Schizosaccharomyces pombe: one gene and its partner. The protein of the gene in region 2 interacts with the protein of the main gene of each other region in a biochemical or structural test. Each region holds a gene or a part of one and is shown on either strand. Other genes may lie near its edges. The genes, in order: mto1 and mto2.

What was found.
Region 1: the proteins of mto2 (region 2) and mto1 form a complex in vitro, tested with the Schizosaccharomyces pombe proteins (one study listed by BioGRID).

What each region holds. Positions count from the first base shown.
Region 1 is NC_003421.2:1,679,236-1,685,321, forward strand, and holds mto1 (gamma tubulin complex linker Mto1), read right to left. Parts: upstream 4,037-6,086; coding exon 689-4,036; 3' UTR 526-688; downstream 1-525. Other genes in the region: mug27 (protein kinase Mug27/Slk1), read right to left, coding at 1-201. UniProt on the Schizosaccharomyces pombe protein: Spindle pole body (SPB) component that acts as the gamma-tubulin complex-binding protein of the SPB outer plaque.
Region 2 is NC_003423.3:492,788-497,140, reverse strand, and holds mto2 (gamma tubulin complex linker Mto2), read right to left. Parts: upstream 2,463-4,353; 5' UTR 2,400-2,462; coding exon 1,206-2,399; 3' UTR 1,130-1,205; exon of another isoform or gene 1,013-1,129; 3' UTR 718-1,012; downstream 1-717. Other genes in the region: dual-specificity MAP kinase phosphatase Pmp1, read right to left, coding at 1-328; idh2 (isocitrate dehydrogenase (NAD+) subunit 2), read left to right, coding at 3,486-3,557, 3,661-3,807, 3,855-3,903, 4,058-4,353.

The DNA of each region.
Region 1 (6,086 bases), on a different chromosome or scaffold from region 2:
ATTTCTTTTCGTCCAGCAATTTTGTCTTTCTTCGTTGAGCACCATGCGTTCATTTTTCGAAGACACACTTGCTGACGCATTTTCCCTGTCTCGTAAATAGCCGCTTGATAGTAAAAATAAATCAGAAAATTCGACTCCATTTTCTTTTGCCTTTGATACTAGTTTGTTATTGTCTAATTCTTTAAGGCCCAGTAGGTCCATTCTATGTTTGTGGAATCGTTCTATAAAATTGTCCCAAGTGAATTGCTTTTTCCATGCAATGGATTCTTTCCTTTTTTTGCTCCTATTCAAGTTTATGTGAGCTCAATTTTGAAATTTATTTTGAGTACACGTTGTGCCTGAATAAAACTCGATTCTCCCAGCAAATGTAAACAAACACCGGGTTCTGGGAATTTTTACAAAGATGATACATGCGCAGTAAAATTTACTTAAAAAAGGTTAAATAAAAAATTATATTTCGAATTCTTTTGCGCGATTAAAATAAATTTTTTTTACGAATATGTGTGATTATTTCCTTTATAATCAGGGAGATACAAACACCAAAATGGTTAATCGAGAACAAAAAAAAATAAAAAATAAATATAAATCTTGGAATTAGCTTATTTTGTCAATTAAATTCTCCAACTAAGTAGATATGTACTGGTGATTAAGAAAAGCTATATACTTCAACCGCAAACTATCCAGATTATTATTTATGTTCTTGTGATGATATAGAAGGAGACCTAGAATTGCTTTCTTTATCCGTTTTTATTTGCCTTGAAAGACTCCTGTTTTGTCGAATCAAATCTTGAAGCCTTTCTCTGGCACCCAACTTGTCTCTTTTACGACCTTCTTGCTCAGCCTTGAGTTGAAACTCCATCTCTCTTAGTCTCAACTGCCATATATGGCTCATTCCTTCAGCATCTCGTTTCAAAGCTGTGATACCTCTTTGAACTGCTGACTTATCTGGAGAAGCGGGAACAAGCTTTTTATCCTCGGAATCCAAACTAACGCGTTTTGAAGCCCTTGGCGAATTTGGAATAGATGAAGTTGACCCAGCGCCTAAAAGTTTCACTCGTTCTTCCAACTGTGATAAACGCTTACTTCTAGCCTCAAGTACACCATCAAGCTTCCTGAGTTCGGTCTTAAATTCCCGCTCCATTGATTGACACTTCCGTTTGAATTCTTGAATGGATTTGTCCAACTCCCTAAAATTCATATTTACTGCCTGATTCATGCTTGAAATTGTCGTCAATGCTTCAACGTTGGTATTTACAGGCTTACTTCCCGTATTCAGTTGGGTAAAACGAGTGACAATGTTTTTTATGAGGGAATTTCTTTCTTCCACTTGCTCTTTAAGGCGTTTTTCAGATGCTTGTAAAAGTTTAAGTTCTCTAGATTGACTCCTTTCAGAAGGACTGGAAGATCCAGAGAGGTTTCTTCTGAAAGCTTGTGAAGACAAATTTTCCAACTCTAATTGGATTGCTTTTTTGGATCGTCTTTCCGCATCCAGTAAGTTCTTTAACTCCTTCTTTTCAGACACTAACGTCTCCAAAGAGTTTGTTTTTTCTTTTAAACTTTGCTCACAATGGTAGATTTTTTTCATCAACTTATCAGTACCAGACTGATCCTTTTTATTCTCATCTTTTAGTTTTCTTATCTGTTGTACCAAATGGTTAACCGAGCAGTGGGTGACCTGTTTATCAAATGTTTCCATAATAGCATTCTGCAAAGAATCGAAATTTTCGCGAAGGGTAACGTATTGATTATTTCTTTCCTCAATCTCACTTTTTAAAGAAGAGTTTGATGACAATATACCTTCAAATTCACGAAGTTTTTTATTTAATGAATCTAATTCGTCATTGTGCCTTTCCTTCAAGTTGCTAAGATAATCGGCTAACGATTCTTTACTCGTTGTAACGCTTTCCATTTCAGTTTTTAACTGACTAAGTTGATCATTTAACGACTCAATTTGCTCATTGAGTAAAAGTTTGTTATCGTTACTTTTCACCAGCTCGCTTTCTTTCAAAGCAATTACTTGCTTGTTTTCTTCATTTTCCTTCCTTAAAGAATCAACTTCTGCTTCTGTCATTTTCAACTGTTCAAGAAGATTTGATGTCTTTGAAGTTGAATCTTCCTTCGCTTTATTATTTTCTTCTTCCAAAGTTTGCAGCCGCTTTTGTAATTCGTCAAATTCATGGCATTTATCGTTATAACGTTCTGACAATTGGGTAATTTCATCAGTAAGCTTTTCAACCTCTTCTTTGAATAAAGAGATACTCTCCTCATTTTCCCGTATTGTTTTCTCGAATTTCTCAATTTCACGCTCTGCTTCAGTCCTAAGTTTACCTACTACTTCTTCGTAATCATCAGACTCTTTTGAAGACTTTGACAGCACCTCTTTGGTATCCTGGAGTTCTTGGGTAATCTCTTCGACATATTCCTGGAGTTGGTCAACATCTTCCCGCCATTGTTGCTCCATTCTCATCAATTTATTTTCATAATCCTCTTCAATATCTTGCAACTGTTTATATAAACGAGTAAGTTCAATTGATTGCTCTTGGGTTTTCATTCTAGATACCATCATAGAATCCCACAATTCATTCTTGCTTGATTCTGCCTCTACAATCGCATTCATCTTCCCTGAATTCAAAGCAACGGTAAGCTCCTCCACTTGTTTAACCAGGCGATCATTTTCCTGCTTGCGAAGTAGTAATGCTTCATTTTGCATAGATATGTCCATCCTCAACAGTTCATTACTACGCTGAAGTGTTTCAATAACACGCTCATCAGTATTTTTTGCAGGCATAGGAACTTTTTTGGATAACTGTACGCGAAGGGATTCCAACTCTTGCAATAGAGCTTCCTTTTCCCGCCGTTCGTTATCAAGCATATTTGACAGTACATTACGATCTTCATTGTATGCCCCAACAGAATAATTCGTCTTCTTTGATTTTTCTTTTCTCAAAGCCGCAAACGCTCTTTTGGTAGTTTCAAGCTCTGAAAGAGCCTGCGAATACCTCGATTGAAGAGTAATTAGGTTTGAAGGGGCCGGGCTGGGGGTGGAAAGGTTAAAAGACTGATCAGGCTTAATCCGGCTTTCTAATCCAGATATTTTTTTCTCATAGCCTGCAACGGCTCGTTGAAGCTCCATAGTAAGGGTCTTCAAATCGATGTTTTGCTTCATAATATCTTGAACCTCCTGATCGTGGAATTTATTTAATTGATCGTATAGAAAGTAGCATTTCAGTTTCAACCCAAACACTTCCTTTCTCAAATTATCAATCACGTTTGCTTGTTCCTTTAAAGTTAAGGAGGAGCCGGGCTGAGATTCCTCAAACTCTTTGGCAAGTGCATTTTTCCTGTCTTTTAGGTCTTTCATAGCAGACGCCGGTATCAATATATCGGAGATCTTTTTGCTTAAAGCATTGGTAGTGGGGGCATCTTGAGAATGTAAATAATTTCGTTCTTCTTTTATTGGGGTTAATTGCAAATCATCTTCATCATCCAAATGAGGTAACTGATCTAGAGAAGAAGAGATATAGTTCGGACTTGAAGGGTCCGAAGTATAATCGTAATTATTGTAACTATCTTCTTCATACTGCTCTTGGCTCTGAAACCCTTGATTAGCCGTAAGTACGGGAGAAAGCTGTTCATCATCAGTAGTAATGTTGTCATTGAGACGATCAAAATTCGTAGTATCCAAAAAAAAAGGTGCAACAGAACTATTTCCCTCCTCGTCCTCGCTATTCAATTTATTGACTGATTCATCGGGAGATTGAAGCGGAGTAGAGCTCGTTGGAGCAGTAGCATTTTGATGGAGACGAGGTGATCCAGAATCAGATTTTAAAGAATCTCTATCAATTTCAAAATCATACTTATGAGAAGCTTCTTCCGAATCTTCGTCTTTTGATGTAGAAGAGGGTAATTGCCGAGATCCTTCCTTTCTGGGTGATAAAATGCGACGAACTTCCTCGTCCGTCAGCGAAAGACCAGCTAAATTATCCACTAGAACATTAAAGTTATTACTATCTAACTCACTGGAATTTTCTTCCATAATTGATTAGAAAACGAACTTCGACATAAGCAAATCCAAAGCAGTAGGCATTGACTCTTGTAACAATTTCAAAGGAGCGATTTTTGAATAAGAAATTAATTCTTTCTTAAATTGTTAATTGTTAAAAGAAAGTATGGGATCGAAGATATGCCTATTGATACGCTATGGCATATATGTAGTGGCAGTAGTTCTCAATGGCTGTCTCTACTTGACGCATGTTAGACTAACGATCAACAAAGTAGTAGACTTGTAATTGCGGACTTTACAATTTTAGAAGGTTTAATGTTTGTGTTAGAAGCAGATATTTTCAAAAGAAGTTAATGAAATTAATTATACATTTGCACACACTCGTTTACATTATAAATAGCCATGTTATTTGGCATGCCTATGGCACATACACAAAACAATAGTACATACATTGATGATATGTAAAACGTAACTATGATTTTCATTAGATTAACTCTCCTCAAGTTAAGGTATGTTAACCTCATTTCACACTGTGAATCCTAAGTATATTAATTATTGATGGAATAAACGTTAAAAACACTAAAGTCCGCTACGATTATGCTTGAGTACATAGGTTTTCACGAACAAGCGTAAATTTGCTTTCCTACGTATAGTTGGTATGTAGCCTGAAATTATTTGTTTCAGTCTCTATTTTCACCGTGTTACATGATGCTACATTTCGATGATTTCAATCGCAACGGTAAATTGAACTATGAATATACGAACAAATATACTTTTCATTAAGAGAACATTTTTAATTTGCATAGTGTGTTCGAAACTTGAATTGAGTGAATGCGAAAATAAAGTCCTCTACAACTCATCAACTTGAGATATGTAGAGCAGCTGAAAAAAAATAATAATAAATAAATAAGTATATGTAAATTAATTTATCTAAGTAAATTAAGTTAATACTACTCAGTATTTTTTTTAATACAACAAAGAAAAGCATTCTTTCTATTAAGCGAAGGATTTTTTTTTTTTTTAAATCAATTACAATCATCACTTACTAGAATGAACCAACTAGTTGAAAACTTTCTTTTCTTTTCAATTTTTTTTTTTATTCAAGCTGATCATTGATCTGATATGTTTTCTTCAAACATTAATTCCATGAAATTGTTTAAAAAAATTTGCGAAAAAAAAAGTTGACAGGTATGTAAATATTACTAATATAGATTATTACAAAATAAAAGAGAAACTTGGCATCATCACTCGCTCTACATAATTTTTATTAAGTAAAAATGGTAATACATAAAAACTGCTTCAAACTCGTCAGTTACGTACTCTGCTAAATCGGTTAAGGTGTCAGCAATATTACATACGCTGCGATACACAACGCTGAATATCACTATATGCTACATATTCTAATTATACCATAGATGATACGATATTACGATTGTTCCTAATGAAATTATAATAAGTTCTATACTATCTGAATAATGCAAATGGAAGCACAATTGAAATGAAGAACGAGGATCAGTTATACGCTATATTAGTGATAGGTAAAAATATAACCTGTATAACAGAATAACTATACCCCAGTTGCGACCTTTATGACCCGCGTATTGCAATATGAATGATTATAAATATGTATTAAGATATTTGTAATAATGTAATACATTACTATGAATGCACTTAAATTAACTCGCGAATGAACTCATAAACGGAGTTCATTTGAGTTTACTTATAGAAATTCAATGAAGGATATATCTATATTCACCTTATATAAATGATGCGGGTATATAACGATCCAATATACAATCATTACAGTTCTGACTCTGAAAATATGATGTCCGACAGCAGCTATCTGAATGCGATTATGCCGACCCTATGCTAAATTCATTTAGTGCTACTGCATCATGTTATGCGACCAAAACCATATTATTGCCAGAGGTCATTTAGCCACGGAAAGCTTACAAGCAACATATGTTGAAAAGAAGAGTTACAGCGTCAAAAATCGTTCTTAACAACGCAGTGTGGTATTAGTTTAACGAGACATAAGGACCGCGTCGATTTGTTCATGGCATGCTTTATCTATAGTGATATC
Region 2 (4,353 bases):
TATGTTTAGAATCTCTATAATGACGGCCATCAGTGCGAAATGGATGCAAAACTTCCTTCGCCACGTTTATAACAACATCAAAAGATTGAATAATGGGCATAGTAGGTTTGGCATATAAGTAAATATTTGGGGGATAGATACAAACAGGGCCATTGGGGTACGGCTGATTAGAATTGGGTTTAGATGCTTTCGGGAAAGATGGAGGGACAGGACACGGAGTAAACAATTGTGAATGACTAGCTTCCTCTTCGTTTTCCAACATATTTTTGTGGGAAACCAGGGGAAGTTGGGAGGTGTAAATTTTTAAGGGAGGTAGTTTTTGAGACATTCTCAAAGGAAGTTTTGATCGAAGCGGTTGTAAGGAAGACTCTTTTCGTTCTATATTTGTTGAGGACTTCAATGCACGTCCTTTCGTTTCAATTTGCTCTTCTGCATTTTCTTTCGCTGATTCAGAATTCATTTTGTGAGTTACCTTCAAACATTCATGGCACCAATAACCATTTCAACTTAGCTTCCTCTATAATATTTAACTTGCAAGAAGATAACTGGAGAATACAAATTTTCAGTGTTCTAATAATTGATGATAGACTGAAAAGATGTATGGAAGTATTGTGAGCTCCTACCAAGCTACAGCATTTGATGCTTTTCTACAGGTGACAGAGGTAACGCATTTTAACAAGTTGGTAAACTTGAATATAGAAAGATACTAAAAGTAAATACAGTAACGAGTTAAATTATCTGATTCATTTTATAAATCAGGTGCGAAATAAAGCTAATTAAACACAATGTACCATTTCGTCTTGCGAAGAAGACATCCACTTCCCAAATCTAAATTATCGTATATGGTTAAATAATGAAAAGATCTGCACTGAATTATCAATTTTAAAAAAATAGCATTGATGAGAAGATGAACAAAACCTCAAATTTTAAGACGTTCTCATACTATAAAGTTTGAGCAAGCAATGCAGCAAATAGAGATGCAGCCAGATCCAATAACATTAAAATAGACGTCCTAGTAGGATTAGCAACTTCTTAAAGAAATGAGCGATATAAAAAAAATAAAAACTTGTACGAGAGGGACGACAAATTAAATGATAGCACTCCTCAATCAATGTTTGTATGAACTTACATGTATGAGAAGAACCTGATTTACTTGATAAACACAAAGAAAAATTGATTCAAAATTAAACTTGTAATAGGCCGAACTAGGGGGAAGGAGTGTCTTGAAGAGAAGGAAAAGACTGTGATGCTGGAGACGCCCTCTGGGGGATAATAGGATGAGCAACTCGCAAAGACGTTGGTGATGGATGCAAGCTCGATTTGTTTGTAGAATTCGAGACATGACGGGTTGATGGATCGCTACGGTACCGGAAATGAGATGCAGCACTATACATTTGAGAAGGAGGAGTAGAATGTGTATGAATTTTTGAATGAAATCGGGAATCATCAGAAAAGAGAGTTGTTCTAACATTATGATGAGAAAGTTCATTTGATTGAAGATCAACTGATGGAAAGGGGTCATTTAAATGCAGAGAAGGCCTACCATAACTATCAGAGGCCATACGTTGTGGTGAAGAATCAACAGAACTGGTATAATTCAATGGTGGTGTATGACGGACAAGATCTAAAGAGTTTGAGCTTTCCTGTTGACTCAAAATAGATGCATCGATCGCTTCTTGCACCAAGCCAAGACACAATTCGGCAAGGCTTCGGCATAACGCATCCACCACACTCGATGGAGAGGTGTTTACCAAGGTGATTGCATGGTTTACAGCTTGCTCTACGGGCTTTAAAATGATGGGCGAAGGATGATAAGTGCGAAGCCGCATAAGAGCCGTTTGCATCGTGCTTAGCGGCGCCGGTGAGTGAGGTGAATGAGTAGAGGGTAAAAGAGAAGGGTAACTGTTAGGAGAACGATATGGACTAAGATTGTTATGATAGCCTAAGTAGGAAGAGGGTCGCTCACTGAGTTGAAGCTCTACTTGATTTAAGCGTTCTCGGAGATTTTCAAGCTCCTGAAGCACAAGGTTATTATCTGCAGTCGATACTTTTTCCAAAGACTTTTCAGAAACAAATTTCGCTGCTTTATGCTCCTGTATAGCATTATTAGACTTCATTGAATTCACGTTTGCATCCGCCAAACTCGGCCAAGACGGCGAGTAAAGAGGATTTTCATCTTTTGTAAAAGAGACCCCATTGTCTAAATAATTATTATCGCTATACATGGAATCTTCTAAAGGTTCTGTCATTAAAGATGCGGATCTCATACCAGCGCGCCATGGTGAACCTCTTGGAGTAGATTCGCGCGAATTTGAGGATAATTGATTAGCAGAGGCTTCATAATTAAGAAAAGGATCCTCTGCCACTTCCCTATCAGACTGGTAATTATGTTCAGACATGCGAAACCACCAGCAAGACGCTGGAGGATTAGAATAAACAGTTGCAAGACCAAGCTCGAATTTGCAAGAGATTCTTGCACTCTTGAAAGATAAAGAGTTGAAAGCACGAATTAACGAATAGAGTATGCACTCTGAAAACCTAACTTAACATACTGTCTTATACTATTTAAAAGTAATATTGCAAAACACAGCAACAAGACAGTTCGCTATTAGTTATCATAACGTATTTTAACGGGATCCACGAAGTTTTCCTGAATAAGCTTTTCCCACAGTTCGTTAGGATAACTTGCTAGTTTTTATTAACCGAAGCTTAATTCTAAGCGGCAACTTCGACTGTGCGGGCAAACAGTACGCTTCGTTACATGTCACTATGCTTTTTTAACTATTCCTAAAAAATCTTTAAATGCCTTTAACACACAATAATCGTTATTGTTTTTAGTGAGTGTATGGTTGAGATAGTTTGAAATAGGAACTACGTATTCTAAAATGCTACACTATTTAAGACAAATAGCAAAACATCTTTTTGTTGAATGAATGAATATATTTGGAAGAGTAATTGAGAAAATAAAGCATAATCCGAAAAATTAAAAAAGCACACCTAGTATATGACAACACTAATTTTCCAGTTGAGAACAATACAAAAGTCAAGATATCAATAACACCAGTGTGAAGCTACAAAATTACAATTTTTTTAATTCAAGCAAAACCAATTCGTCGAATTATCCTCTCAATTTAGACAATTACATCTTTAGTTACTGAATATACCTCAAGAACCAAATAGATGTGTTTTTTAAACAACATTAATAATTATGTACTACTGAAATTATCGTTAAAAACTATATAACGCAATAATAGACAATGCAGTAAAAAAGAGCGCTATGTAATAACAATTCCTCATTCCGCTTCGAGGGGCTTTCTAAATGGTTAAACTCCACTCAATTACCCTTGCTTAACTCCACGTTCTATCTCCACAAAATTCGGTAAAGTCAAATTAAGGATGATGCGACGACTCTCGGAATCCTTTGTTTATATCACGGTCCGACATCTTGCACTCTCCATACATGCTACATTAGTTATAAAAAAACAATGTCAATGCTTTCTACTTTACGTACTGCAGGTTCTTTACGGACGTTTTCAAGAAGCGCCTGTTACTCTTTTGTAAGTTGTGAATTGGCTCCTAAGCGATAAATCGCTGGTTTAAGCAGCCTTACTCGTCTTTTCATGATTATTTGATCGATTATATTAACAGAGTTATTTTTAGCAGAGATTTTCTTCAACGAAGGCTGCCGCTGGGACATATGAAGGAGTAAAGAATGCCAACGGGAACTACACAGTAACGATGATTGCTGGCGATGGCATTGGTCCAGAAATTGCTCAGTCTGTAGAACGTATATTTAAGGCTGCAAAGGTTTGTCGAGTCATCCGTCATTTAGTCATTAACGACTTGTATTGTAGGTCCCTATCGAATGGGAACGTGTAAAAGTATATCCTATTTTGAAAAATGGTATGTCAAGTATAAGAGAAGATGGTTGGATTTGTATGCAGTTTGGCCTTTCTTTTATACGTTTTTGTCAGCAATGCTTGTTCCTGCTTGTCAAGTCCTTCCATGTCTCCTCGAGATTATCGCGCACGAAAATCACGTTTACTAATTCGTTTAGGTACTACTACTATTCCTGATGATGCTAAGGAATCTGTTAGGAAAAATAAAGTGGCTTTGAAAGGTCCATTGGCAACCCCAATTGGGAAGGGTCATGTTTCTATGAACCTTACTTTGCGTCGTACTTTCGGCTTGTTTGCCAATGTTCGTCCCTGTGTATCTATTACGGGATACAAAACACCTTATGATAACGTTAATACCGTTTTGATTCGTGAGAACACTGAGGGTGAATACTCAGGCATCGAGCATGAAGTTATACCAGGCGTTGTTCAATCGATTAAATTAATTACTCGCGCA